Arabidopsis thaliana: one gene and its partners. The protein of the gene in region 1 purifies or fractionates together with the protein of each later gene. This does not show direct contact. Each region holds a gene or a part of one and is shown in the gene's direction. Other genes may lie near its edges. The genes, in order: EMB2775, CHR11, AT1G10490 and AT3G57940.

The links.
Region 2: the proteins of EMB2775 (region 1) and CHR11 fractionate together in Arabidopsis thaliana (co-fractionation; one large-scale study listed by BioGRID). This does not show direct contact.
Region 3: the proteins of EMB2775 (region 1) and AT1G10490 fractionate together in Arabidopsis thaliana (co-fractionation; one large-scale study listed by BioGRID). This does not show direct contact.
Region 4: the proteins of EMB2775 (region 1) and AT3G57940 fractionate together in Arabidopsis thaliana (co-fractionation; one large-scale study listed by BioGRID). This does not show direct contact.

Annotation. Positions count from the first base shown.
Region 1 is NC_003076.8:9,821,954-9,827,757, forward strand, and holds EMB2775 (ATPase family associated with various cellular activities (AAA)), read left to right. Parts: upstream 1-1,559; 5' UTR 1,560-1,877; coding exon 1,878-1,961; intron 1,962-2,044; coding exon 2,045-2,155; intron 2,156-2,362; coding exon 2,363-2,395; intron 2,396-2,608; coding exon 2,609-2,777; intron 2,778-3,201; coding exon 3,202-3,383; intron 3,384-3,896; coding exon 3,897-4,033; intron 4,034-4,152; coding exon 4,153-4,251; intron 4,252-4,336; coding exon 4,337-4,406; intron 4,407-4,494; coding exon 4,495-4,569; intron 4,570-4,721; coding exon 4,722-4,767; intron 4,768-4,857; coding exon 4,858-4,916; 3' UTR 4,917-5,290; downstream 5,291-5,804. Other genes in the region: AT5G27730 (heparan-alpha-glucosaminide N-acetyltransferase-like protein (DUF1624)), read left to right, coding at 33-99, 190-271, 356-447, 542-685, 769-915. UniProt on the Arabidopsis thaliana protein: May be involved in DNA replication and thus regulate cell proliferation.
Region 2 is NC_003074.8:1,939,400-1,946,977, forward strand, and holds CHR11 (chromatin-remodeling protein 11), read left to right. Parts: upstream 1-1,573; 5' UTR 1,574-1,666; coding exon 1,667-1,864; intron 1,865-2,071; coding exon 2,072-2,203; intron 2,204-2,298; coding exon 2,299-2,405; intron 2,406-2,516; coding exon 2,517-2,629; intron 2,630-2,832; coding exon 2,833-2,930; intron 2,931-3,020; coding exon 3,021-3,200; intron 3,201-3,282; coding exon 3,283-3,504; intron 3,505-3,700; coding exon 3,701-3,835; intron 3,836-3,917; coding exon 3,918-4,200; intron 4,201-4,277; coding exon 4,278-4,351; intron 4,352-4,461; coding exon 4,462-4,682; intron 4,683-4,758; coding exon 4,759-4,846; intron 4,847-4,924; coding exon 4,925-5,018; intron 5,019-5,094; coding exon 5,095-5,289; intron 5,290-5,370; coding exon 5,371-5,405; intron 5,406-5,514; coding exon 5,515-5,591; intron 5,592-5,689; coding exon 5,690-5,779; intron 5,780-5,877; coding exon 5,878-5,947; intron 5,948-6,053; coding exon 6,054-6,108; intron 6,109-6,198; and 12 more. Other genes in the region: AT3G06390 (Uncharacterized protein family (UPF0497)), read right to left, coding at 49-308. UniProt on the Arabidopsis thaliana protein: Possesses intrinsic ATP-dependent nucleosome-remodeling activity. Constitutes the catalytic subunit of several complexes capable of forming ordered nucleosome arrays on chromatin. Involved in the formation of nucleosome distribution patterns.
Region 3 is NC_003070.9:3,451,359-3,459,204, forward strand, and holds the start of AT1G10490 (GNAT acetyltransferase (DUF699)), read left to right. Parts: upstream 1-1,832; 5' UTR 1,833-1,906; intron 1,907-2,201; 5' UTR 2,202-2,230; coding exon 2,231-2,335; intron 2,336-2,423; coding exon 2,424-2,515; intron 2,516-2,754; coding exon 2,755-2,926; intron 2,927-3,007; coding exon 3,008-3,130; intron 3,131-3,209; coding exon 3,210-3,383; intron 3,384-3,495; coding exon 3,496-3,606; intron 3,607-3,685; coding exon 3,686-3,819; intron 3,820-3,904; coding exon 3,905-3,998; intron 3,999-4,196; coding exon 4,197-4,295; intron 4,296-4,379; coding exon 4,380-4,516; intron 4,517-4,638; coding exon 4,639-4,736; intron 4,737-5,224; coding exon 5,225-5,348; intron 5,349-5,442; coding exon 5,443-5,530; intron 5,531-5,610; coding exon 5,611-5,710; intron 5,711-5,789; coding exon 5,790-5,842; intron 5,843-6,065; coding exon 6,066-6,242; intron 6,243-6,325; coding exon 6,326-6,363; intron 6,364-6,430; coding exon 6,431-6,524; intron 6,525-6,601; and 10 more. UniProt on the Arabidopsis thaliana protein: RNA cytidine acetyltransferase with specificity toward both 18S rRNA and tRNAs. Catalyzes the formation of N(4)-acetylcytidine (ac4C) in 18S rRNA. Required for early nucleolar cleavages of precursor rRNA at sites A0, A1 and A2 during 18S rRNA synthesis.
Region 4 is NC_003074.8:21,447,344-21,455,262, forward strand, and holds the start of AT3G57940 (GNAT acetyltransferase (DUF699)), read left to right. Parts: upstream 1-1,910; 5' UTR 1,911-2,216; coding exon 2,217-2,321; intron 2,322-2,412; coding exon 2,413-2,504; intron 2,505-2,695; coding exon 2,696-2,867; intron 2,868-2,964; coding exon 2,965-3,087; intron 3,088-3,174; coding exon 3,175-3,348; intron 3,349-3,431; coding exon 3,432-3,542; intron 3,543-3,635; coding exon 3,636-3,769; intron 3,770-3,872; coding exon 3,873-3,966; intron 3,967-4,176; coding exon 4,177-4,275; intron 4,276-4,366; coding exon 4,367-4,503; intron 4,504-4,615; coding exon 4,616-4,707; intron 4,708-5,043; coding exon 5,044-5,167; intron 5,168-5,277; coding exon 5,278-5,365; intron 5,366-5,431; coding exon 5,432-5,531; intron 5,532-5,601; coding exon 5,602-5,654; intron 5,655-5,859; coding exon 5,860-6,036; intron 6,037-6,121; coding exon 6,122-6,159; intron 6,160-6,308; coding exon 6,309-6,402; intron 6,403-6,534; coding exon 6,535-6,714; intron 6,715-6,796; and 10 more. Other genes in the region: AT3G57930 (rho GTPase-activating gacO-like protein), read right to left, coding at 1-332. UniProt on the Arabidopsis thaliana protein: RNA cytidine acetyltransferase with specificity toward both 18S rRNA and tRNAs. Catalyzes the formation of N(4)-acetylcytidine (ac4C) in 18S rRNA. Required for early nucleolar cleavages of precursor rRNA at sites A0, A1 and A2 during 18S rRNA synthesis.

The DNA of each region.
Region 1 (5,804 bases):
GTTTATAACACTCAGAAACTTGTGTTATGCAGCTCCATATCTGCTATTCTTTCTACAATCATCGGAGTCCATTTTGGACATATTATTTTACACTTGAAGGTCAACAAACTGAATAAAACATAAGCTTCAAGCTCCTACAAACTATCACCGTTTTGTCCTTTCAATCTCATCATTACCATATTTTTGCAGGGACATTCAGCGCGGCTAAAACATTGGATCTCCACCGGTCTTGTTCTCCTCGCTCTCGGACTTACTCTGCATTTCACCCACTGTGAGAAACACCTTGCTTTTTGGTCCAACTCAAAATAGTCTCTCTTCTCTTACCATATATTACAAACTCAAAAATGTTTTGCAGTGATGCCTCTGAACAAACAACTCTACAGTTTCAGCTACATATGCGTGACCTCCGGTGCAGCAGCGCTCGTCTTCTCTTCGTTGTATTCTCTGGTGATTCTTAAGCCACCACATTGACATTGACAACAACCAAGACGTATGACAAACTTTGGACAAATTTGTTGTTTATTATTTCGAGTGTTTGCAGGTCGATATATTGGAGTGGAAACACATGTTTCTGCCTCTAAAATGGATAGGCATGAACGCAATGTTGGTGTACGTGATGGGAGCTGAAGGCATTTTGGCTGCTTTCTTCAATGGTTGGTACTATCGCCACCCGCACAATACACTGGTAAAAAATCAGTTACTTACTCTGAAATCTTAAATAGGCCTGAATGGCTTATCATACTGACAGTATCATGATACCTGCTTTAGATAAATTGGATTCGGGAGCATGTTTTTATCCGAGTTTGGCATTCAAGAAGAGTTGGTGTGCTAATGTATGTCATTTTCGCGGAGATTCTCTTCTGGGGTTTGGTCACTGGTGTGTTTCACAGATTCAAGATCTATTGGAAACTCTAAGTAGACCGTGAAAATACCTAACTCTATGTTGAAGTTGTTATAGTTTAGGATATATAAAATCAAATTCATGGTAAGTAATGTAGTCAAATTCATGATAAGTTATGTATATTTTTCGTAAACCTTGGTCAGAATATCCTTTGTTGATGTTGATGATATAGGCCTGTATATGCATTTCAGGCCAATTTCACCGATCTACCGTATTGGAACTTAAATATCCGAATGATCTGTATCCTACTGTTTCCCACATTTTTTTACGTATTCTTCCGATAGTAATATTCGATATCCTCAGAATGGAGACGGAACCGCACCGCACTTTATCCGCAGGTGAACCGCATGTCTCCATTCGATCCGCAATTGCTAATTTACAATCTCCTAAATACCCTTACCCGATCTGCAATTGCTATTATCCACGAACCGGTATGCTACCACCGATAGTAATTGCTAATATCCGAATGATCTGTATCCTACTGTTTCCCACATTTTTAATGTATTCTTCCGATAGTAATATTTGATATCCTTAGAATGGAGATGAAACCGTACCGCACTTTATTCGCATGTCTCCATTCGATCTGCAATTGCTAATTTACAATTTCGTAAATACCCTTATCGGATCTGCGATTGCTATTATCCACGAACGGGTATGCTACCACCGATCTACCCCTACTGGAACTTAAATATCTGAATGATCCGTAGAATGCTTTTTCCCACACTTTTTTGCGCACACTTCGGATAGTATATTTCGATATCCTAAATACCATTATCCGATCCGCAATTGGTATCATCCGACGAACCGGTATGTTGACTCTAAGCAAAAGAGAGGGTTTGGTCCTATGACCTGACGTGGGAATGTGTAAGCGAAAGAAAAATAGCTAAAGACGTCTCACACAAAAAAGCTGCTAGAGGAAGAAGACGATTCACTTCTTTCCCGCCACTTTCACTATCTTCTCCGGTGGTGAGCAAAGATGTTGTGGGTCGACAAGTACAGGCCGAAATCACTCGACAAGGTCATAGTTCATGAAGATATCGCCCAAAAACTCAAGAAATTGGTACGCCTTTTTGTTCAAACCCTAGGTAATTTTTTGGAGGGGTTTTCGATGAATTGGAAGCTAATTTTCGATTCTCCTCTTAGGTTTCCGAGCAAGATTGTCCACATTTGCTCTTTTATGGGCCGTCAGGTTCTGGTAAGAAAACCCTAATTATGGCTCTTCTCAAGCAGATATATGGGGCCAGTGCAGAGAAGGTAATCCTTCTTTCTTATACCCTAATATCGTTCTGATTACTAAAAGATGAAGACTTTGAACCCTAATGTTCTTTAGCAAAGCAACATTAGGAAGTTATTCTCACTAGCACATACTCTTTATTTTCTCTTAGATTGATGTTTATCTTCTTATTGCTACTTTCTTTTGTATGTGGCAACTGAGAAACTGCTTGATTTACTTGACTTCAGGTGAAAGTGGAGAACAGGGCATGGAAAGTTGATGTGAGTTGCATTGCTTTAATTTTGAAGTTCTCGCTGCTTGATATCCATAGTCGTCTTGTGTCCTTGTTGGATCAGTAAATGTGGTTAAGATTGTATCATCCTACTTGTGAAACACAGAGATGTGAATTGTGTTTGCTGTCAATTTCTTTAGTGGGTGGTCCTCCTAGGCGGATTCTTCTTTTATACATGACAACATTGTGATACATTACGCAGGCTGGGAGTAGAACTATTGATCTGGAGCTCACTACATTATCAAGCACCAATCATGTGGAACTTACTCCAAGTGATGCAGGCTTTCAGGACAGATATATTGTTCAGGAGATAATTAAAGAAATGGCCAAGAACAGACCAATTGACACGAAAGGAAAGAAGGGATATAAGGGTAAGAATTACTGTTCCCCTTGTTCTATATAATAGTATCATTAGTGTAGACAATTTGGATTACAATGGCTTATAGTAGTTATTTGAAGCATCTATGAAGAGTGAGGCTTTTATAAGGGCATTTGATGCCATCTTCAATCCGTATACTGCTGTGGTAGACTGGGTCTACATTTTATGGTTCGTAATATAGTTTTCGTTTACTTTTTCATGTTCAATTAGATGGTTGCCTCGTATATCTAGTTTTAAGAGTTCTTGTTCAGCTGAGTGCTTCTTTATACATTTAGATGGTTCTCTGTTTTTGATTATCAACTTATCACTGGTCTCTAACATCCCTTTATGACCTGCCAAAGTAGTTCAACTTCTTTTCACATATGGATGTTGGAAGATGTCTGATACATGCAGATTTTTTTTTTTTGTTTCGGCAGTGTTGGTATTAAATGAGGTTGACAAGCTCTCACGAGAAGCTCAACATTCTCTGCGGAGAACAATGGAGAAATACAGCTCATCTTGCCGTCTCATCTTATGCTGCAACAGCTCTTCGAAGGTTACCGAAGCCATTAAGTCTCGTTGTCTCAATGTGCGCATAAATGCACCTTCGCAGGAAGAGGTACATAAAATCACCCTATGTTTTTGTAAAATATTGTTTATACAATAAAGGAGGCTTTGTGTTTAGTTCGGTGTTGAGAAACCACATCTTGTTTTGTGGCTTTTAGTGGCTATCTTAGAGCAAACTCATATCAAATCCTGTCTTAAAAATGCGCATCCTATGGGAGATGAGATCTCGAAATTGCATTTCGTATTTTTCCTTTAAATCAACTCGATGTAGAAATCGATTTGTACGTATTCTTGTGTACATTTCACTAGTTTGGCAAGAAAAAACAAGTTAAATTGTCTTTATATATCTGCTTTTATCCTTACTGAGAAATTTTTCATGACTGTCGGCGTTCTTGTGATTATTCTATTGTTCATGTGATTTAAAAATATACTATTAAGAATCTGTAGTTGCTATCAGAAATATTACCTAAGATTCAGTGTTTGCTTCATTTGGCCTTTGTAAACTTTCTTGCGAAAACCAGTATGCAAGATTATTGTTAACTAAAATGTAGCTCTCTGGTACCAGATAGTGAAAGTGTTGGAGTTCGTTGCAAAGAAAGAAAGTCTGCAACTGCCCCAGGGTTTTGCTGCTCGTATTGCTGAAAAATCAAATCGCAGTCTAAGAAGAGCTATTTTGTCACTTGAAACTTGTCGTGTCCAAAAGTAAGGATCAGAAACTTTATATATGCAGATAATCAATGAGTTTGATTCTTTTGTTGTTTCATGTTTAGAAAATTTAACTTTACATTACTTTCAACTTGATATTCATTTTTTCTTTGTAGCTATCCGTTCACAGGTAACCAAGTGATATCTCCCATGGATTGGGAAGAGTATGTTGCTGAAATAGCAACTGACATGATGAAAGAACAAAGCCCTAAAAAGTCAGACTCTAGTGAATCATTTACTTTTACAAAATAGAACTTCAAAGATAACTTTGACTTTATCATCTCTTGTGTGCTTCTTCAGGTTATTTCAGGTGCGTGGAAAGGTGTACGAATTACTAGTTAATTGTATTCCACCAGAAGTCATTCTAAAGGTCTTAAACATAACCTTATTCACTTATATATAATTATGTATTTGGGTCCCTTTCTCTTTCATTTTACTCATAGTTTATGCTTTCCCAGAGACTCCTTCATGAATTGCTGAAGAAACTGGACTCAGAGCTAAAGCTTGAAGTCTGCCACTGGGCTGCATATTATGTAAGAGTATTTTTAAACGGCTCTTAGTCTTAGATTGCGAATTTGATTTCTCCTCACCATTATCTCAACTTCTGTGTGCTCATTTGAGACTGAGTTACCATTCTTCTGTTTTGGTGGCTTGCTTGATGATATGTCTTTGGCCCTTCTTACAGGAACATCGGATGCGATTAGGTCAGAAAGCCATATTTCACATAGAAGGTATATAAACTCTTTCAGTTATTGCATATGGCCGATATAGGCTACATAAAAAATATCATCTTCTTACTTTGAGTTGGTGTTACACTGCAGCATTTGTGGCCAAGTTTATGAGCATATACAAAAACTTCCTCATTTCAACGTTTGGGTAGAGAAGAGAGGCTTCAAATCGAGGAAAAGAAGATAGACTTGCACTTGTACTGTTTATTTTATGCGTGATCCGAGGTTCTGAAGTTAAGGTTTCTGTTTAGTGGGTCGTCTTAACTTTTGATGTTTGAATTTGTTTCCCTCAACTTGACTGTCTTAATTTTAATAAACTATGGAAGCGGTTTGGCCTATCAGTCTGCAACAAAAGACTTGCCGAAACAACGCCAAAAAGTGGCTATTCAATTTGCAACTCTATGGGTTTGACGAGGGCTAAGAGCTAGAAGATACTGAAATTTTGTTGTAGTAACATTAGTTTTTTTTTAACAAAAAACATTAGATATTTGCGGTAGGCTTCTACCGAACATAGGCAAAATCTTCCGTAGCTAACAAATTATAATGATTAAATTTATAGTGATATATATTTATACCGTCCAGTATTAATATATTGTATATATTTATAATATATTTTTTTTTTTTGTAAAATTCAATTTATAATTTACAAAACTTCATAAGTTTTAAAATTATAAATATTTTTTAAAAATTTAAAGCTAAACTTTATAAAAAGTTTGTAAAATTATAATATTTAAAAAGCTATAAACTTTGTAAAGTTTATATTTTTAAAAATAAAGAATCCGAGTAAACCGGATAACCACTTTAATTTTAATTTTGGACGTCTGATAAATCAAGCTTCCTGCTTATTCGTAACTGGACTCATTTTGGTCATTTTTTAGTATGACTTTGAACTAATGTCCAATTTTTTAAGCGATGTGGGACATTGTACACATATTATTTCTTCATTGATTGAATAATACATGTCGATTTTAAAAATTTGAATTACATCATATACAAAAAAATATATATTTTATTAACTATTTATATTTTATATAAATTCA
Region 2 (7,578 bases), on another chromosome or scaffold:
ATGATTATGATCAAACATGGAGGAATTTAATTAATTAAAGAGACAAACATGAAAGCGGGCGAGTCATTGAACTCGGCGGAGACAGGAGCCGGAGACGAAACTCCAGGGAGCTGAGTCATCTCTGTCTGGTCGCTAGTCACCATTACTATAAGAGCAGTCAGAGTGGCGGAGAAAAGCAGAACTCTTGTTATAATGTCTATTTTACGACAATCTAGGAAACTGGCGGCTGATGAGGGTGGTGGTGTAGCCGACGCGGGAATCGGTTCAGATTTGCCAGTTTCAGGGTCAGGGTTCTCAGTAGACGCCATCAGATGATTCTATAACTCTTTTGTGGATTAGGTTGTGGTTAAGTTTGGACTGTGAGTTATGAAGTTGGCCGCTACATGAGATTATTTGTGAGTATATATATATAGATAGTCCCGGTGATGAGTTGTAGTTATTACCCACACGCCAAGAAACAAATTTATATTTATTTACACTATTCACTAATGTATATATACAGGAACATGAATATCAATTCATTTAATTTCTAGCTTGCATTTTTCATTGTTTAAAATTTCGAAATAGTTTTTGGAAAATTCACTAGATGTTGTAGTTTTATTTCAACGTTAACATATAATGTTTGTTACAACAAATTTTGCATGCATATCTATTTTTGATTAATAGAAAAATTAATATATTTCTATAGGTATAAGTTATGGATAATGTAGATATATACAATGGGAATGTGTTAGGCCAACCCCGGGAAGGTTGGTGAGGAAATTGGGCGACGGTAATCAAAAACAAAATACAAAAAAGGAGAGTAAAGAACAGTAGGAGTGGTTAACCAATCATCTGCATGAAAAAGGTAATTTTATACATGCTCTTAGGTATCACTTTGCTTTCTGCTTGTGGCTGCAAATCATGTAAATGGATATCTTATTTTATGTAAAAACATTAAACTGCAAGAAACAAATGTCCCAGTAGCATGACCACTTCAGCACTTCTCAAACATATTATAATGTTTTAACATGGATAAAGCTATTTCAGATACTAATCCAGTCGAAATAGAGTAGTTTTGTCTTAGCAAAATCACCAAACTTTATCTCTTGATACCAATACAGAGTGACTGCACAAGTCTGAGAACAACACAAAAAAAGTCAGACCTAACAGTAATAATATATATGAACTCATCATGATTTTTATTTCATATCTTAATAATACCTAACTGGTTTTAGTAAATCCAAATATATAAAATTAGAGATAGCTTTAACAAATTGGGGGCGATGATCAATCACAAAGATTAAAAATAGTGTAACTGGAGAATCTTTCTCGAGCAGCTCCAGCATAGTAATAAGTTGGGGAAAATATCGGGCTTGAAAGTGGGTCTTATGGGTCAGTCAGGCCCAACTATGATTAAACAAAGCCCAAATCGCGAATGTTCCAAAACAACTCTCTTGCTCAGGTGGCGGGTAATTAATTACTAATTCCCCGTTCGATGAAGCGACTAGTTACATCGTAGCCATATATTTATTCAGCTTAATCAACGGTTACAAATTACCCTGAAGCTTCGGTCGTTTTGCAATTTGTATCTAAAGTTTCACTTTTTTTTTAAAATCTTTATTTTACTTTCTCACAAGCGAAGCGAACCCTCGATCTCAAGGCGAAAGCAGATTTCGTAGCTTCCATGGCGAGAAATTCGAATTCCGATGAGGCTTTCTCGTCAGAGGAGGAAGAAGAGCGGGTTAAGGATAATGAAGAAGAAGATGAGGAGGAGCTCGAGGCTGTTGCTCGTTCTTCTGGCTCCGACGATGACGAAGTAGCCGCCGCCGACGAATCACCAGTCTCCGACGGAGAGGCTGCTCCCGTAGAAGATGATTACGAGGTAGCTGCAGGCTAATTTCGTTTTGATGGCTGTGATTTTTGAAATCTCAGTGAACTGCATCTTTTTTGTACTTGGAAAGTTGAAATTTCATTTAATGCAATGGATTCGGCGTTCGCGTCTTCCTTCGTTTGTTAGTTTTAGTCGAATTTTTGTTGAGTGAAAGTTCATTGAATGTCTGCGCATGGTGGCTCATTGTGGTATAAGCAGGACGAAGAAGATGAGGAAAAAGCTGAAATCAGCAAACGTGAGAAAGCCAGACTTAAAGAGATGCAGAAGTTGAAGAAGCAGAAGATTCAAGAGATGCTGGAGTCGCAGAATGCTTCCATTGACGCGGATATGGTGCGTTGTTTGAACTATATATTTCAGGTTTTTAGCTACTTTTCGTTCTCGTGCTTTTAAGTTCTGACGATTCTGAATCATTCCATGTGTTTTAGAACAATAAGGGAAAAGGGAGACTGAAGTATCTTCTGCAGCAAACTGAGTTATTTGCCCACTTTGCTAAAAGTGATGGATCTTCTTCTCAGAAGAAGGCAAAAGGAAGGTGTGTTAGATGCAATTTTTTCCTAAAATATCGGTTCATCATTGCTTCTAGCTTCAGAGTAAATATGATGAGCCAGGCCCTGATTTATGTGGTTTTAACTTCTACCTTCAGGGGACGTCATGCTTCCAAAATAACTGAAGAGGAGGAAGACGAAGAGTATCTAAAGGAAGAAGAGGATGGCTTAACTGGATCTGGAAACACACGGTTACTCACACAGCCCTCTTGTAAGTACCTGTATTTTGCTCTTTAGTCTAGGATTACTGTATATTAATCGTCTCTCTAGTCTCGAGCAACAAGTACAATATGATTGACATCTCCGTCCATTTGCGTAACCATACATATTTTTGTGACCTCACAGTTAGTATGTAGTATAGCGTAAATTACTGGGAAAGCTTGAGATTCATCTATTTTTCTTCTCAATCGACAGGTATTCAAGGGAAGATGAGAGATTACCAATTAGCTGGTTTGAACTGGCTCATTCGTCTTTATGAGAATGGCATAAATGGAATTCTTGCTGATGAAATGGTAAATAATTCTCCCCCAACGATCCAAGCAGAATAAGTTCTCTATATTCTGTCATGCTAATCATGAAACTTTTTTTTCCCTGTGGTCTAGGGTCTGGGGAAGACGCTTCAAACGATTTCTTTGTTGGCATATCTTCATGAATACAGGGGAATCAATGGTCCCCATATGGTGGTTGCTCCAAAATCAACACTTGGTAATTGGATGAACGAAATTCGCCGGTTTTGTCCTGTCCTACGTGCTGTGAAGTTCCTTGGTAATCCTGAGGAGAGGGTAAGTCATGAGCTGTCTGCCATTTCAGAATTTCATGTAAACGTTTATCCCAGGATTCTGAAATGTCTGCTAACTGATGCAGAGACATATTCGAGAAGACCTGCTAGTTGCTGGGAAATTTGATATTTGTGTCACAAGCTTTGAGATGGCCATCAAAGAGAAGACAGCACTTCGTCGGTTTAGCTGGCGTTATATTATCATTGATGAAGCGCATCGAATCAAGAACGAGAATTCACTCCTTTCTAAAACCATGAGACTTTTTAGCACCAATTATCGGCTTCTTATCACGGGGACCCCCCTTCAGGTGTTTGCTCTATCTTATTCTTGAATATTTGGACATTGAAGTTTTCTTTGTTAAGTTGCTTCTAATTGAATGTTGAAACAACCTTTCTTGTACGGCTCTGTTTGCACTCTTAACTTTTGCTTTTCCGGGCACTTTTAATATTTACCGTATAATGACTGTGTAGCCTGCTGTACTCATATTGTCCTCATATATGCAGAATAATCTCCATGAACTGTGGGCTCTTCTAAATTTTCTTCTGCCTGAGATTTTTAGTTCAGCAGAGACTTTTGATGAATGGTTTCAAATTTCTGGTGAGAATGACCAGCAAGAAGTTGTGCAACAACTGCACAAGGTATGGATGCACCCATTCCTTGCATTGAGTTTATTCTGTTCTGTGTGAGTCGTAGGTTAATTGCTTTCATGTATCTTTTTAGGTTCTTCGACCATTTCTTCTTCGAAGACTAAAGTCAGATGTTGAGAAAGGTTTGCCACCGAAGAAGGAGACCATACTTAAAGTTGGTATGTCTCAGATGCAAAAGCAATACTACAAGGCTTTACTGCAGAAGGATCTTGAAGCGGTTAATGCTGGTGGAGAACGCAAACGTCTGCTAAACATTGCAATGCAACTGCGTAAATGCTGCAATCACCCCTATCTCTTCCAGGGTGCAGAACCTGGTCCCCCATATACCACAGGAGATCACCTTATAACAAATGCTGGTAAGGCTAGAAATAAACTAGATCCTTCAGATTTCTGTGGAAGTTTTTTATGAAGCATCTCTATATTGTTATTTTAGGTAAGATGGTTCTCTTGGATAAATTGCTTCCTAAGTTGAAAGAACGTGATTCAAGGGTGCTGATATTTTCTCAGGTAAACGCTAATACAGAACAGCTGGATATAATGGTTTCTTACAGTTCATCTTCTCTTTTTCCTTTGTCTATGTAAAGTCTGAGCCTTATTCTTTTCTTTCCACATGTCAGATGACAAGACTTTTGGATATTCTTGAGGACTATTTAATGTATCGTGGTTACTTGTATTGCCGTATTGATGGAAACACTGGTGGTGACGAACGAGATGCCTCCATAGAAGCCTACAACAAGCCAGGAAGTGAGAAATTTGTTTTCTTGTTATCTACTAGAGCTGGAGGGCTTGGTATCAATCTTGCTACTGCAGATGTTGTGATCCTTTACGATAGTGATTGGTAAGTCTCTCATCATTGTCCACTGTAGTTTATGAACTTTCTCTTCACGTTTGACGAGTCTGGCATATTCTGGCAGGAACCCACAAGTCGACTTGCAAGCTCAGGATCGTGCCCATAGGATTGGTCAAAAAAAAGAAGTTCAAGTGTTTCGATTCTGCACTGAGGTTGGTCTCCTCTCCGTGAATTTCAAGTTAAAACAGCCATGAGAGGTTTAAAATTAATTATGTGTTGTTTGTTTACAGTCTGCTATTGAGGAGAAAGTGATTGAAAGAGCTTACAAGAAGTTAGCACTTGATGCTCTGGTTATTCAACAAGGGAGATTGGCAGAACAGAAAAGTAAGTGCGTTATACAGTGATTGCTTTATGCATTGGTTCATCTCTGACAGAATTGGTATTTATCTTAACTATGCAGCTGTCAATAAGGATGAGTTGCTTCAAATGGTAAGATATGGTGCTGAGATGGTGTTCAGTTCTAAAGATAGCACAATCACAGACGAGGATATTGATAGAATCATTGCCAAAGGAGAAGAGGCAACAGCTGAACTTGATGCTAAGATGAAGAAATTCACAGAAGATGCTATACAGTTTAAAATGGATGACAGTAAGGGTGTCACTTACCTACTATTTCCCCTATTAGGTTGTGTGAATATTGTAATGTTTTGATAATCTGTTGTTTTATTTGTTGTAGGTGCTGACTTCTATGATTTTGATGATGACAATAAGGTAACTTGTATATTTCTTTGCATAGTCTTAACTTTCATGTCATATCCCTAGCTTTGCTCTGCATTACTGATGATAAAATTTACTAATATATTTGTAAATTTGTTCATAGGATGAAAACAAGCTCGATTTTAAAAAGATTGTAAGCGACAATTGGAATGATCCCCCCAAGCGGGAGAGAAAGCGCAAGTAATGATTACTTCTGTCTTATACATTGTGCAGTCCTATTTTGCCAGTCTTCATATCTAAAAGAAACATCCCTTTTGTTTTATCTACTGTATCTTCAGCTACTCTGAATCTGAGTACTTTAAGCAAACATTGCGGCAAGGTGCTCCAGCTAAACCTAAAGAGCCTAGAATTCCGCGCATGCCCCAGTTGTGAGTACCTCAACAACCTCCATCTCATTGTTGAATGCCTTTTCCCTGTTTTGATGATTTTCTTACACTAGAAATCTAATTTATTGTCCCTCTTTCAGGCACGATTTCCAGTTCTTTAACATTCAGAGATTGACCGAGTTGTATGAAAAGGAAGTACGTTATCTCATGGTAGGCCTCTCTCAAAACGAAACACTTGATTCCTTTGATGTGCTTAAGAGCGAGTTTTTTTGCCTTATAAAAGCAACTTGCTTCTTTTTGTGCTTTTTGGTTTCAGCAAACACATCAGAAAAATCAGTTGAAAGACACAATTGATGTTGAAGAACCAGAAGGTCAAGCTTGTACCCACTTTGTTAACATGTACCCACTTTGTTAACATGTTTTTCAGCAAACCTATTACTGATTAAGAATTTTTTTGTTAGAAGGTGGGGATCCCTTAACTACTGAAGAAGTAGAAGAAAAGGAGGGATTATTGGAGGAGGCAAGTGAATATGTTTGATGTTAGAGTGGTCTTAGACATTTGATTTGGTAGGCTTTAATTAATTTTTTGTAATTGTCAATCTCCAGGGTTTCTCAACATGGAGCAGAAGAGATTTTAATACTTTCCTCAGGGCTTGTGAGAAGTATGGCCGCAACGACATAAAAAGCATTGCCTCTGAGATGGAAGGGAAAACAGAGGAAGAAGTTGAAAGATATGCCAAAGTATTTAAAGAGCGGTACAAGGAGCTGAACGGTAAGTAACACCTTTCAATGCTAAGTTATGCAGTGTTTTTACATGTTTCTAAGTAATTCCTACCTCCAAAAAGAGCTTATGCTAAGTAAGTTTATCATCTTTCCCTCTAAATATGTAGACTATGATAGAATCATTAAGAACATTGAGAGGGGAGAGGCAAGGATCTCTAGGAAAGACGAAATCATGAAGGCCATAGGGAAGAAACTGGATCGCTACAGAAACCCTTGGCTGGAACTGAAGATTCAATATGGTCAGAACAAAGGCAAGCTGTACAATGAAGAGTGTGACCGTTTCATGGTATGTCTTTTTCTCGTTTCCCTTTTTGCTGTTCTGTCTCATTAATTATATCATGAAGTTTTTGACTGTTGAGGAACTTTGGTGGTGAAAAACAGATCTGCATGATTCACAAACTTGGTTATGGGAATTGGGATGAGCTAAAGGCAGCATTTAGGACATCGTCTGTGTTCAGGTTTGACTGGTTTGTGAAATCCCGCACGAGTCAGGAACTTGCAAGAAGATGCGACACTCTGATTCGACTGATCGAGAAAGAGAACCAGGAGTTTGATGAAAGAGAGAGGCAAGCCCGCAAAGAGAAGAAGCTCGCGAAGGTAAAATAATGCAATATTTTCATGTATAAGGTTGTATTCTTTTGATTTGATTTCTTTAGGTGGTTAATGCTTTTCTGGTTTTTAATCTTTGAAGAGTGCAACACCATCAAAGCGACCTTTAGGAAGACAAGCAAGTGAGAGTCCTTCATCGACGAAGAAGCGGAAGCACCTGTCGATGAGATGAGATTATGTGTTTACGGATCTGTCGAGTCTTTGTTGTTACATATAGTTAAGCTAATGTTAAAAACATAGCAAATGGATTTCATTCTGCTTTCATGAATGTTTGTCCTGGTTTGACTTGGATTTAATGAAATGACTTAATTATAATTTTGTAGACTTCTCTTCCGTAAAGAAACTGAACAAAAGGATTTGAGGCCATTGGATGGCAACTTAGGCTGAAGCTTAAGCAAAAGTTATGAGTTTCTGAGGGATATATGAACAGACGATTTTTTCCACAATTT
Region 3 (7,846 bases), on another chromosome or scaffold:
AATAAGTGAATTTAGTGGTGGATATAACTAGCTTGACTTTAGATCTTATTCTTTCAAATAGATTTGGTGTAAGATTGATTCGACATTTCCCATTAAATCTCCAAACAAATATGTGCATCAATTCGTAACTGTACAGCTTTAAAAATACATATAATAAATGGAGTCGGCAGGTTTGTATATTAAATTAATTTGCGTGATTGGAATGATAAGCTTAAGATCCATCATCCAGTGTTGGAGGTCCCTTTAATTTTTGTCTACACATGTCACTTCCGACACCAACGGAACTCCATTTGCTTATGTGTGTATTGGATGCTTATCCCATTTAATTAAAAAAAAAAATGTTTTTAAAAGGTATTATTCCTTTATTGTCCAATTCGTATGTTTCCTAATTTTGGTAAATATGTTTTTGTTAAGTTTGAAACATCGTTCCTTGCATTACGTATGAGTAAATCATACACGAGCGTATGACCGAGTTGGAATTTACGTAATGACAGATAAATTTGTACATTTACGACATATAAAAATATGAAATCAACCTACATATCTCTTTTTTCCTTTACTATTCTGAAAATTCTAGGTTTTTGACGGAAGAAGTGAAGGCTATAATCACAGAATGGAGGACTCTGTCACGCATTGTGTTCTAGTATGCCATATTTAACACTTGTCAATATGGCTTCGAAAACCGATAATTTTCCCTAACTAAAAATAAAATAAATCTAAGTGGCCACCTAAATGTGTTTAGTTATTATCATACATGCATGCAACATTTTATCATGGCATGTGAAATGTAATCATAATGGAGGATAGACTGCTTACTACTTAAAACAATAAACCACTAATTATCAGTTTTGAAATGATTTATTTTTGTTTAAAGAAGAGATAATGTTATATAATGTTGTGGGAGACAAAGATAGATCCAAGCCAGGTAAGGTTAGCTTGTTGATCTAAATTGATTAAAGCATTTGTTGAACAAGACTTCGCCATCTGTACCACCCATTCTTCTTTCAATTATGGATTATAATTTAGTAAATATCATATATATGCCTCCATTATAACTTTTATTATTGACATTATTGCTTTCTTAAAAGCAAGTTTATTTATCAAAAACTATTGATTGGTCATTGTGAAACGTTATATTTGACCGTCAATAAAACTATACATAACGCAATACATACATTATTATATCAGGTAAAGACTAAGTTATATTAGTATCTTATAAAATGACAATAACATGTTCTACGTAAAAAAAAAGGACAAGGATTATCGGTTACTTTAATAGTTTGAATGATTCTTGATCTAATAATTAAAACATTGGCGTTAGATGTAAGTTTTTGAAATTTAAATTGATTTTAAATGAATCAGTTGATCTAGACAATTAATTTGGTAGAACACCGATCAGAGACCCTTCTTCCAGAAACTGTGATTATAAAACGTGTACTAAGAGACAAGTAAAAATCTTCGTTTTTCTTAATTTAATGCATAGTTGGCTATTTGCGTGCATCATTATTTGCACAATAGTAAATATTCGATTCACGTCGTGTGCAGGAACCCATTCTTTTATCACTTCCAGTAACTTATGACGTTTTAGGATATGAAACATATTTCACCGTTGATCTTGTTTTCTTGTTGTTGTTTAATATCATTCACCGTTGATCTTGTTATTGAGTTTTTCTTTGCTTTTCAATTCGGTTTTATGTAACCGCTAAAAATTAATGGAGAAGAAACCCGTCTTATACCTACAAACCGGGAAATGTGAAGAAGAAACAAACCGGTCGGTTATTGAATTTTAGGGTTTTAAGGTTTTGACCGATGGTTGACTTAGGGCGCGCTTCTCTGCTTTGGTACACACACACACACATCAAGCTGCTTCTTTTACCTCTCTTCTCGCTTCACTCACCATCCTCAGGTTCGTTCTCTGTCACAAACATTACTTCCGACGAAAGAATTAATTTTACAGTTAGGAATTGTAATCAGTGCGAGTAAGTACAGGAATCGAAGCCGGTTTTGTGTTTCTTTTGCTTGATTTTTCTCCGTTTATTCTCAACTTTGAGACTTTTGCTTCATTGGTTACCCTATAAAGCTTGAAACTTTATTCGAATTGAGATGTTCCATTAGATATTTTCAAACAAGTTCCTGCCTTTTTACTCTACATTAAGCTAAAACCTGTGTTTGATTGAATTTTTGATTTCGGCTTAATTAAGGTTAGGCAAAACCAATAACTGGTGTGAGAATGAGGAAGAAGGTAGACGAACGTATAAGGACTCTGATTGAAAACGGTGTTAAACTTAGACACCGTTCCATGTTTGTCATTATTGGTGATAAGGCTCGTGACCAGGTAAAATTCTTCTTGTTATAGATAATTTCTACTTTGCATTTTCCTCGGATTTCAAGTCTAATACTTTTCTGATTCTGTTATGTAACAGATAGTTAATCTTCATCACATTTTGTCAAAATCGGTGGTCAAGTCTAACCCAAGTGTGCTATGGTGCTACAAGAATAGACTCGACATTAGCAGGTTTGATTTATCAACCGATTCAAATATTAGATATTTGCAAAAGTTGAAGCGTTGAAATTTTGTTATTAAAAACTTAATTGAAGCCTAGTTAATAATTAGGTGTGAGTTTCTTTTGAATTTTCCATGCCAAGAGAATGATGGAACCTGGTTTTGTGAGCTATGTTACGCATATTTGTGGAGTTCTATTTGTTGATAACTTGGTCCTGAAAAAGAGTGGGTGTAATTGGTTTTGTGTGCAGTCACAATAAAAAACGTGCTAAGCAGTTGAAGAAGATGAAGGAGAGAGGACAATTAGATCCTGAAAAACTCGACGCTTTCTCTCTTTTTCTTGATGTGGTGGATGTTACTCATTGCTTGTACAAAGATTCTGAAAGAATTCTTGGGAATACTTTTGGCATCTGCATCTTACAGGTACTCTTGATTAATGGCTGAAGAAACATTTACTTTTGCTGCAGCTTACTCATATTTGCATCCTATTCTTACTATGTTCAGGATTTTGAAGCTCTAACTCCAAATCTACTAGCAAGAACAATAGAGACAGTCGAAGGGGGTGGGCTAGTTGTATTATTATTACAATCGCTTGCTTCACTTACTAGTCTCTGCACCATGGTTATGGTATGAAGACTGATTTTGCTAGTTATGTTGTTTGCTAACTACTTATTTGGAGTTACATGATTGGTTCTGTTCATATCAGGATGTGCATGATAGATTTCGAACCGAGTCACACTCTGAAGCTTCCGGACGTTTCAATGAACGATTTCTGTTGTCACTAGCATCTTGCAAAGCATGCGTTGTCATGGATGATGAGTTGAATTTATTGCCACTTTCATCTCATATCAAATCTATCACAAAAGTTCCAACAAAGGAGGTAATTTCTATAGCAAATTCACACTTCTTTTCATGGGTTGTTTAGAGAGATTGTCTTCCATCATACCAGTTAGCATCTTTAACTTTTCAATTTTATGTGTTTGTAATAAAAGGATTCGGAAGCGCTTTCTGAGGCAGAACGAGACCTGAAGAGTTTGAAAGATGCACTAAACGATGATTTTCCTGTTGGTCCTTTAATTAATAAGTGTTGTACATTGGATCAGGTATGTGGTTTAGTCAGCTGTGCACATTGGATTAAGAAGTGTTGCACATTGGATCAGTATTGAATTTTCTCTTTTGTAGGGTAAAGCTGTTGTCACATTTTTCGATGCAATATTGGATAAGACCCTCCGTAGCATAGTTGCTCTGATTGCTAGTCGTGGGCGTGGAAAATCTGCTGCACTTGGTCTAGCTGTTGCTGGGGCTGTTGCTGCTGGGTAGGCTTGAGTTATTTTGAGCTTTTATTCATGTTTGTTAATAGTATTTATTGTCTTATTAATTCTATATCGTATTTTCTGTTAGGTACTCTAATATTTACGTAACAGCACCGAGCCCAGATAACTTGAAAACAGTCTTCGAGTTTGTTTGCAAAGGTTTCGATGCACTTGAATATAAGGTAATATGAGCTTCTTCTGCATCACACATATGAAGCAATTTTCTAGAAACTGCTGGACTTCTTCCATTTTGTTGGGGTTGTCATAGATTTGAAATCTGCACTATCTCCTGGAAGAAGAAAAATGTTACTTTGTTTTGCATGTTAATTCAGGATTACCATATAATTTTCTGAACTCTATCTTCAACTATATATTTGAAGGAACATCTTGAATATGATGTCGTGAGAAGTGTGAATCCTGAATTTAATAAAGCCATCGTACGGATCAATATCTTCAAGCAGCACAGGCAAACTATCCAGGTCTGTCCAACCCTGAATTTTTGTAAGAAGCCGTAGTTTGTGTCGATCGATAAATTGCTTTATTCTTCTTCTTTTTTCATGCAGTATATACAACCGCATGAACATGAAAAGCTCTCACAAGTGGAGCTGTTGGTTATTGATGAAGCGGCAGCTATTCCTTTGCCAGTTGTGAAGTCTCTACTTGGCCCTTACCTAGTTTTCTTATCATCTACTGTCAGTGGGTATGTGAAACAGGAGTAAAATGCTTATATTCCCATGATATTGAAAGATATATGCATGGCTTGATTATATATAGGGTCAGTCAGGCTGCTGATTTTTGTTTGTTTTACCTTCTTTGCCAAAGCTATGAAGGTACTGGTAGATCTTTGTCCCTGAAACTCCTCCAACAGTTAGAAGAGCAAAGCCGAGCCCCTGTCACTGGTGTTGAAGGCTCTCTTTCTGGTATTTACTACTACATCTTGCTTTCACTTTTGGCATGTGGCAACCTGGATATTTTTTTTTTGTAGAGATCCCAATATTATTATTAAGAATATAGAAGTTCATCTTTTTTAAAATATCGCTCCAATGCCTTTGCGTCGGGGCTTATCAGCTAGCATTTTCATAAGAAAGAAATTTATGTTTTTGAAGTAAACCATTGCTCCAATTCCTAAGTTTGAGGAATATATGTGAATGATTTTTTCCAAGAACGTAGGTTTTGTTGTTAAGTTTGGCCTTAAGGGCCTCCGAAGGTTGATTGAAACTTCATGCAGAGTAGTCCTCTGTCTGATGGGTGTTCATATTCATTAGAACTAATGTTCTCTCACGCAGGGCCTACTACTTTCATATCTTAGTATGTAGTATTAGATATCCTCTTTTTCCTACACTATCTAGTTGATGTGATTCGTTATCTTGGGGAACTCCGTGACTGTCTGAATTTTCTTTGGATTCAGGTTGCCTTTTCAAGAAAATAGAACTTAGTGAGTCTATAAGATACGCTTCTGGAGATCCAATTGAATCCTGGCTTAATGGATTACTATGCCTTGATGTTGCTAATTGTCTTCCAAATCCTGCTTGGTATGGTATTTCACTTCATATAAATAGAATGTTGCCATCCTTTCTTGCCAACTAGTGATCTAGAAAATGATTTCTATTTTTCTTGCATTTGTAGCCATCCTCTGCCAAGTCAGTGTGATCTTTATTATGTCAACCGAGACACCTTATTTTCTTATCACAAGGACAGTGAGTTGTTTTTACAGGTAATAATAGTTGATTTTACAACCTACGTACTTTTTGCTACCTATATTTTGTTAATAAGGCATTAAGTGGTATTCTACAGCGAATGATGGCACTTTGTGTCTCTTCTCACTACAAGAATTCTCCTAATGATCTTCAACTTTTGTCGGATGCTCCTGCTCATCATTTGTTTGTGTTGCTCGGTATGCAATTGTTCCTCCTTTTCATAGCTAGAGATAATCATCAGATTTAGAGTATTGCCTTATTTTCTTTTTGGCACAGGTCCTGTTGATGAGTCCAAAAACCAGCTTCCTGACATACTGTGTGTTATTCAGGTATCGATTTCTTACTTTCTGCTCTGCTCTTTGAAATTGTTTGTTTGGAGAAAAACAGTTAGTTGGACTAAACAAAGAATAAAAGCAGCTATCAGTCTGCTTGAATTGTTTGTTTGCAGCAATTTTGTTTTGTAAAATCATGAATCTCATATCTTGTCGTTCGTATGTGATTGATTCTGGATGTAACTGGTCTTAAGTATCCTTGAAATTGATATTTATGCAGGTCTGTCTCGAAGGACAGATATCTCGGAAATCAGCTGAAAAAAGTTTAAGAGAAGGTCATTCACCACATGGAGATCAAATACCATGGAAGTTCTGTGAACAGTTCCGGGACGTGGTCTTTCCAAAGCTTTCTGGTGCTCGTATAGTACGCATAGCAGTCCACCCCAACGCTATGAAGGTAAAGTTTCTTAGTCGCCTCATTTTTTTAGTCTTGTAGGTTTCTTGTGAGATTTAACAAATTCTTGATTACATTCTATGTAGATGGGATATGGGTCTGCTGCGGTTGAACTCTTGACCAGGTAAATGCAATGATTACGACTTAGATGATTAATACATGCAAATATTTTAATTGATTGATACGTGCAGATACTTTGAGGGTCAGCTAGCTTCAATATCAGAAGGTGATGATGAACTGGAAGTGGAGCCTTCACCAGTCAGAGTTACCGAGGCTGCTGCAAAGGTTCTTGATTATTTTAATCTACCCTTGTAGGGTTTTGCATCATGCATTCTAGTTCTTACTTGAATTTTTTCCCTTAGGTTTCTTTGCTTGAGGAACAGATAAAGCCTCGTGCCAATCTTCCACCTTTGCTGGTTCCTCTTCGTGATCGACGACCTGAGAGACTCCACTACATCGGTGTCTCTTTTGGGCTTACTTTGGACCTCTTCCGTTTCTGGAGAAAACATAAATTTGCTCCATTCTACATCAGTCAAATACCAGTTGAGAATCCCTCTTTCCCTCTTCTCCTGAATTACTAATTCTAGTGTTGTCTAGCAGTTCATAACACAATTTCTAAAATATGGTTGGATCAGAGTGCTGTGACTGGTGAGCACACATGTATGCTTCTGAAACCATTAACCTTAAGCAACGATGAATTCGAAGTTGATGAGTCGGATGAACTGGGCTTCTTTGCTCCCTTCTATAAAGGTTTGTAAATTCTTAACAGGAATCAAATGTTTCTGTAGCTTTTAAGGATGACAGGTTTTGTTTTAATGTTTTGGCAAATTCTTCTACTCTGTTCAGATTTCAGGATAAGGTTCTCTAAACTGTTGAGTGATAAATTCAAGAAGATGGATTATAAACTTGCAATGAGGTTAGCACTAATCATATTCTCTCCCCATGCAAATTTAGACTTTTTCTGCAATACTATTTTAAGATGATTAGACTTTTCTTGGTGCGGTATTATTGTGTTGATAATATACTCGTTTCACAATTTTGTTAGTGTTTTGAACCCTAAGATCAACTTCCCAGAGGTTGATTTGACTGGAAATTCACCAGATGGATTTTTGAAGAAACTCGACGGAGTTCTTTCACCTTATGATATGGAGAGATTCAGAGCATACACTGCCAATCTCGTTGACTTCAATCTGGTTAGATTCACTCTCTGAGAGTCACTTATTTTAGGGAAATATGTACTATAGTCAGATATGTAATCTGCTTAAATAACTACACAATCATAAGATTCTGGTACAGACTCAGACAAATAATACTAACCGCATGTTCAAGCTTGATACTCTGTCTTTTCGTTTGGTTTGGTAACTATTTTTACTTTGTTATCTTTTCAAAGGTTTATGACATCTGCAAAACTCTAGCTCATCATTATTTTCAAGAGAAGCTCCCAGTCTCGCTGTCGTATGTTCAAGCTTCTGTACTCCTGTGTTTGGGCTTGCAGGAGTCAGATTTCTCGAGCATCGAGGTATAACATATCTACTCTTTAAAATAAATCGATGATCTGGACCAGCTGAATTATGTTTCACCACACATGTGGAGATAAATTTCTTGAC
Region 4 (7,919 bases), on another chromosome or scaffold:
GATTTCATAGAATCTTCTGTGCTTGATTTTGACCCTACCCCATTCTCTTCTTCAGTTATGTTGCTCTCTTTAGACTCCACTGGTTTCTTCCTCTTCCTCCCATTCTCTGTCACATTTTCTTTACTTGTTACTGAACCATTTGTATCATCATCCTTGTCTTCTTCCTCATCTGTCTTCTTCACTAGCTCTTCTTCTTCTTCTTCTTCATCTTTCACCGGCTTCTGTGGCCTCCCTCTTTTCCTAAAAGCTGGAATCTTTTCTTCCTCGCCGCTCCCTCGATCTTCTCTAGCAGTAGCATTCTGCCTCTTGCCTTTTCCTCTACCTCTTCTCATAACTCTATTCAAACCAAAAACCAAAAACCTCAAGCAACTAGACAAGAAACCTGCAAGTTGAAAAGGTTGCTTTTTAATTACCAGTAGTAACTCATACCTCACAACAACACAATGAAGGCGAACTAAACTCAAACACTATAGAAATTTGTTGAAGAATGCAGACTAAAAAGTGTGAAAAGCAATGTCATTTTTTTCGATATGCACAAAAGTAGAGGATCATTCAAACTGGCAGACACTCCATAGAGGAGGAACTATTCATTGAAGAATCAACACAAGCGCAATCATAAACACGAAAGCAAGATTCCATTTTTTTCATGCATTAGAAGCAGTGCATTGAACAAGTTATTTAACAACATCCAAATACAAATTCTTTCCAAAAAGATCTGAACAAAGGAAACATATATAAGCAACACTTGAGTCACGAGACATTAAACAATTTCATCTCTTAAAAACCTATCCTTTAGAGCTCAATAGAAACCAAGAACTAAGCTACAAGCAAGTTCAATCAATTATCTTCCACGAAAACTAATTGCATGAACAGTCTAAACAAGAAAACAAGCCCTAGTTTCCTTACAATCTCTTCAAAACAGAGAGACAGAGACTCACCTGTGAACCCATTGGTCAGACTGAGACAAAAACCCCAAAAAACCTATAAAGGGTTTCTCTTTTTACTAATTTATAGTTGGGTTCTCAATCGATCTAACTCACGAGTTTCTACAGCTAAAACCCAGATCAGAGGAAAGACTAAGAGTCTAAAGAAAACTGACCAAACCAAACGGAGGAATCAAATCGAATAAAAATCCAAAGGATAAGACTCAAGTTAAAAGAAAGAGATCTAAGAGAAGAAGGAAGGAAGAAAACGAAGAGAAAGAGCAACAGCTAGAGTACTAGTGTTGGTTGAAAAAGATTAAAGTTGATTGCTTTCAAAAGGCTTCTCTTTTCTTTGTTCTAGCTTCTGTCTCTGAGTGAAACTTAAAAGAAAAACGTAAGAATGACGCTTTTTCTTCTCACTACCATCACTGAGACTGACTAAAATGGATCTTAAGCCCGTTGAAGATGGATACGGATTTCACCCACGCGCCCCCTTTTTGGCGCGTGCTTTCACATTCTACTCGTTTTCGAACTCGTTGGGTTCGGTTGGATAAGAGACGACAGCTAATAGCCGCGTTTCATCCAAACATTTCAAAACACTTTCCACGGGCTTCTTCTTTTCCTTTAACGTTTGGGCTTTGGCCCATTAGAGTTCACTTTATTTGTTATCTCTCTATTCTCTCTATCTATATACTAATAATATTCTATATGTCAAAATCATCACATTTTGTAATTCAGCTTCATCAGCTATATAAATTGAAGTTACATCGCTTCAAAATTGTTTTCAAAAACATTCAACAAAGGATTTTGTCACCAGACTCACCACTAACAACTACAAAAAAAACTAAAAGAGAGAGACACATATGATTCTTCCCGGGCTTCTTCTTTTACTGGGCCTTTTATGCTTATGCCCATTAGAGTTCACTTTATTGAACCCGATTTTATATGAATAGTGGCATTAAACCATTTCGGTCTAGTACTCGGTTATGAATGATTCATTCATTGAGTAAGAAGGACAAAAAGGTCAAAGCAGAAAAATCATAATTTCTTCGGTCCTAAACCCTACTCAACAATTTAGAAACCCTAAGTTCTGTTCCGGTGGTCCTTGTTATTTTTTTTTATTTTGGTGTTGTTCTTAAAATTCAGTTCCAAACGGAAATTGATTTCTTCGTCAGTTGCGTTTTTTACCAACACTCGAAAGCAGAACCCATATTTTGTTATTGAATTTGGGTTTTTTTTTGTCTGTGTTAAGAAGATTAAGTAGGAGGAAGAAGAAGAGCTAGTTTTGCGAGAATGAGGAAGAAGGTTGATGAACGTATCAGGACTCTGATTGAAAACGGTGTCAAATTGAGACACCGTTCCATGTTTGTAATCATTGGTGACAAGTCTCGTGACCAGGTTCTCGAAAGTTTTCTACTTGGACACTTATCTCCCTGAGAGAATGTTTTGTTGGATACTAAATCTTCAACCTTTTTTTTTTCTCTAACAGATAGTGAACCTCCATCATATGTTGTCAAAGGCAGTTATTAAATGTAATCCGAGTGTGTTGTGGTGCTACAAGGATAAACTTGACATTAGCAGGTTCTGTTCTTAATCCCAAATTCTCAAGGCTTTAGATGATTCTCTTTTAGCTCATTTTATGCTTGTGATATATATATTGAGAATTTAGCTGGGCACAAGTGTAGAATGGAATGTGAAATTTCTGATTGTCCTTTGAATAAAGAAGATAGCTTTTTTCAGTAATGGTGAGAGTCTGTATCGTTTGTTTGCAGTCATAAGCAAAAGCGTTCGAAGCAGCTGAAGAGATTGAGGGAGAGAGGACAGTTAGATCCAGAGAAACTTGACGCTTTCTCGCGTTTGCTTGATGTTGGAAGAGTCACTCATTGCTTGTACAAAGATTCTGAACGAATTCTTGGAAATACTTTTGGCATGTGCATCTTACAGGTACTTTTCTTCTTATTTATATTCATTTAGGATGACTGCCTTATGTCCCTGTTTCGTTTTGTGAGTAATTGTTACTATTTCTTCTTGATAAATTCAGGATTTTGAAGCTTTAACTCCAAATCTACTAGCAAGAACAATAGAGACTGTGGAAGGTGGTGGTTTGGTTGTATTGATATTGCGATCACTTACATCGCTTACTAGTCTATGCACTATGGTTATGGTATGAACCACAGTTTAATTTCTTATTTTTTGAGTAAGTGGGAGAAAAGCATTATCTAAGTAATGTGACATGACTTTTTTTTATTAGGATGTCCATGACAGATTCCGAACTGAATCGCATTCTGAGGCTGCCGGCCGTTTCAATGAACGTTTTCTGCTTTCACTTGCATCTTGCAAAGCATGTGTTGTCATGGATGATGAGTTGAATATTTTGCCGCTTTCCTCGCATATCAGATCTATTACTCAAGTTCCAACAGAAAAGGTAATTCTTGTAGCAAATTGAGAGAATGTTATCCAAAGTTCCAGGTAGAATTGATAACTTTACAATGTTATGTGCTACTAAAGGATTCCGAGGGGCTCTCTGAGGCAGAGCGGGATCTGAAGAGTTTGAAAGAAGACCTAAGTGATGATTTTCCTGTTGGTCCGTTAATCAAGAAATGTTGTACATTGGATCAGGTTCAAAGCTATCAATTTTATGTCTTGCTAATGTTCTTTCTTGTTGCATGGTTGATATTAAATTGTAGGAGATTCTGCGTTTTCATTTTGTAGGGTAAAGCTGTAGTAACATTTTTCGATGCAATTTTGGATAAGGCTCTCCGCAGCATAGTTGCTTTGATTGCAAGTCGAGGACGTGGAAAATCTGCTGCACTTGGTTTAGCTGTTGCCGGGGCTGTTGCTGCTGGGTAGATTTCTTGAATTAATTTTACTATATGTTCTTCTACTCATCAGTATTAATTTTTCTGGATGTTTGTGAGAATTATTGATGTGTGATTTACTTGCTCTTAGGTACTCAAATATTTACATAACTGCACCAAGCCCGGATAACTTGAAGACATTCTTTGAGTTTGTTTGCAAAGGCTTTGATGCACTTGAATATAAGGTAATGCAAAGTTCTTTTCCTACAGATTATTTTTATATTGTATTTGTTCTATTTCATTGAGAAGAACCTGCAAGGTGAGAGACATATGCATAGTTATTGAGATAATTATTGAATAGACCTACACTATCTCAAGGATAGAAGAAATCATTAAACCATTTTGCGATGTGGTCATATATGGTTCTAAATTACGTTCCATTATTATTTTTATAGGAGCACCTTGATTATGATGTTGTGAAAAGTGCAAATCCTGACTTCAAAAAAGCTGTTGTACGGATAAATATCTTCAAGCAGCATAGACAAACTATCCAGGTTTGTTAATCCCTCAATTAATTCATGATCTTCAAGCTGTGATTTGAGTCCCTTTCCGACGTGTTCCATGCTCTTGATATTTTTTATGCAGTATATACAACCACACGAACATGAGAAGCTTTCACAAGTAGAGCTGTTGGTTATTGATGAAGCAGCAGCTATTCCTTTACCAGTTGTGAAGTCTTTGCTTGGTCCTTATCTAGTTTTCCTATCCTCAACTGTCAGTGGGTATGTGAAACTGGATCTGATGCTATTAAAAAGTCATATGCATGTTCTGGTTTTAATTCAGGGATAATCATGCTACTGTATGTTACCCATTTTTTTGTTTTTATGTTTAAAGCTATGAAGGCACTGGGAGATCTTTGTCCCTGAAACTCCTCCAACAATTAGATGAGCAAAGTCGGGCTCCTGCTACTGGTCTTGAAGGCTCTGGTATGTAACTGCTGCACCTTGCTTTCATTCTTGGCTATGAAAATGATTAGGGACATTTTTTAGAGACCGCTCTATCATCCTTCAGAGGATAGACTCGTTTTTCTTAGAATCATCGCTCAGATACCCCTATTTATTGTTTAGAGCTTCGTTTTCATTTTTTCCCTTAAAGAGGCTTACAAAGATTAATCTAAATTCCATGCAAAGTAGCCCGCTTTACTAGTGTCTGATGAATTCTTCATATGTAGCAACGCTAATTATATTCGCAGGACCTGCATTTTGTGGCAGTTCTAGTTAATGTGATTCATTCCCCTGATTCTCTCAAGTTTCTTCGGACAGGTTGTCTTTTCAAGAAGATAGAACTTACTGAGTCTATTAGATACGGTTCTGGAGATCCAATAGAATCCTGGCTTAATGGCCTACTTTGCCTTGATGTTGCTACTTGTCTGCCTAATCCTGCGTGGTATGAATTTTTAACTAAAATTTTATAGTGTCTACTATCCTTTCTAGTGTTACTGATTGTCTAGAAATGTTTTTTATTTGATTTGTCTTTTCTTTCTTCTTTTTGTGTAGCCATCCTTCGCCAAGTCAGTGTGATCTCTATTATGTCAACCGAGACACACTCTTTTCTTATCACAAAGATAGTGAATTGTTTCTACAGGTAAATGTAGTTGATTGAGATCCGTACATTATTTTGACAATAGACTGATATAAGTGCATCCTACAGAGAATGATGGCGCTATGTGTCTCGTCTCACTACAAGAATTCTCCTAATGATCTTCAACTGCTGGCTGATGCTCCTGCTCATCATTTGTTTGTGTTACTTGGTATGCTGCTTGTCCTTTTCCCACACCTAATTTAATTTTCAGAACTATTCCTAACTGCTTTTAAACGCAGGTCCTGTTGATGAGTCCCAAAACAAGATTCCTGATATACTCTGTGTTATCCAGGTATATTTTTGCTTATCCTGTGCTCACATTGACCTAGAACAGCGATTCATCAGTCTTCATCAAATGGACTAATAAAGATTAAAGTATCAGCTATCAGTCTGTTATAACTGCTTTTTTCCAGTTTTTGTCGAAAATCATAGTTTCTCTAGCTTGTGTCCTTATTTATATGTGTGATTTTAAGCATCATTGTAGCTGTTATATTCAGGTCTGTCTCGAAGGAAAGATATCTGAGAACTCTGCCCTTCAAAGTTTAAGGGATGGCCATTCACCATACGGAGACCAAATTCCATGGAAATTCTGTGAACAATTCCGGGACACTGAATTTCCAGGTTTCTCTGGTGCTCGGATAGTTCGCATAGCAGTCCACCCTAACGCCATGAAGGTATTTATTTAGTTCTGCTCATATTTTTAATTGTCCAGTTAGGTTCTGTGTGCGATTAACAAGCTTCTGATTACCCTCTTTGTAGATGGGATATGGTTCTGCTGCAGTTGAACTCTTGACCAGGTAAATTCATGGAATGTGCATACAAGTTTGTAATGATGTTATCTCATGCATTACCTATAGCAATGTTATATGTTGTTCTTGAAATTTTGGACTTTGTACTCTTAATTAGGTGTGGTCATTCTCTTACTAATACTGATTGATATTTGCAGATATTTTGAGGGTCAGATAGCTCCAATCTCAGAAGCTGAAGATAAAGTTGATGTGGAGCATGCACCCATTAAAGTGACTGAGGCTGCTGAGAAGGTTTCTGGTTTTTCCTATATATCTATTTATGTGGGCTTTGGTTGTTACTTAGTGCAGAATCTGCTTCTTTTTTAAGTTTACTATAATAGTTATTTCTCTGTTTCCATTCTTATCTGAATCCATTTTTGACAGGTCTCCATGCTCGAGGAGCAAGTAAAGCCTCGTACAAATCTTCCACCTCTATTGGTTCCACTCCATGATCGACGACCTGAGAAGCTCCACTACATTGGTGTTTCCTTTGGGCTTACTTTGGACCTCTTCAGATTTTGGAGAAAACACAATTTTGCGCCATTCTACGTTAGCCAAATCCCAGTTGAGAATATTTCCATCCTCGCTTATACAAATTTCTTTTTTAATAGTTGTTTGTAACACTTATTATCTGTGTTTCGATCAGAGTGCTGTGACTGGTGAGCACACATGTATGCTTTTAAAACCCTTAAAGAATGATGAACTAGAAGTCAACGAGTCCGATGAGTTGGGATTCTTTACTCCCTTCTATAAAGGTTTGTTGATTCCTTGATCAAGAACTGAACTTTCACTATCTTCCAAGTATCTCATAATTTTTGTTCAGATTTCAAGATAAGGTTCTCTAAGCTGTTGAGTGACAAATTCAAGAAGATGGACTATAAACTTGCAATGAGGTAAGCAATAACATTTTTCTGTCTTTACTTTTTGATAACATCGATTTCGTATAATTATTTATTCGTGTCATATTATTCTTTGTCCAGTGTCTTAAACCCCAAGATCAACTTCGCCGAGGTTGATTCTTCAGGGAGTTCATCAGGTGGATTTTTGAAGACACTCAACGGCATATTATCTCCGTATGATATGGAGAGGCTCAGAGCATATACTGAAAATCTGACTGACTTCAATCTGGTTAGATTTCTTCTTTCTTTTAAGAATGGTTTACTTTTGAAAATGTCTGTGAACTAAATTGACATTTTTGGTAATGATTCTCTTGGAACCAAAATTGGACGTTGAAATGGTGCAGAAGTAAAAACATATGCCTTTGTTGTAAACTGCTTTCAGTTCTCCTTCAGTTTGTAACCTGTTTCATTGTCTTATCGTTGAAAGGTTTATGACATCTGCAAAACGCTGGCACATCAGTATTTTGAAGAGAAGCTCCCCGTATCACTGTCATATGTTCAAGCATCTATATTGCTATGCTTGGGGTTGCAGGAGACGGATTTCTCCAGCATCGAGGTAACATGTTTTACTCTAATTTTGAAGATTGCAGCCAGCTGGTTCATTATGTTTCAACAAATCCATATTTAATAAACATGCAAACACATTTGAATGTTTCAGAGACAAATGCAGTTGGAGAGGGGACAAATACATTCTCTTCTCCTGAAGGTCGCAAGGGAGTTATACAAATATCTCAATGGAGTTGCGGGAAAGGAAATCAAATCAGCTCTCCCTCGTTTGAAAGAGGTAACTTCATGTTATTCATTACTTTGTAATTGGTCATAATAGTTTACATTTACGAAACCAAGAACAAAGTTTGGATAGTGTGCAGA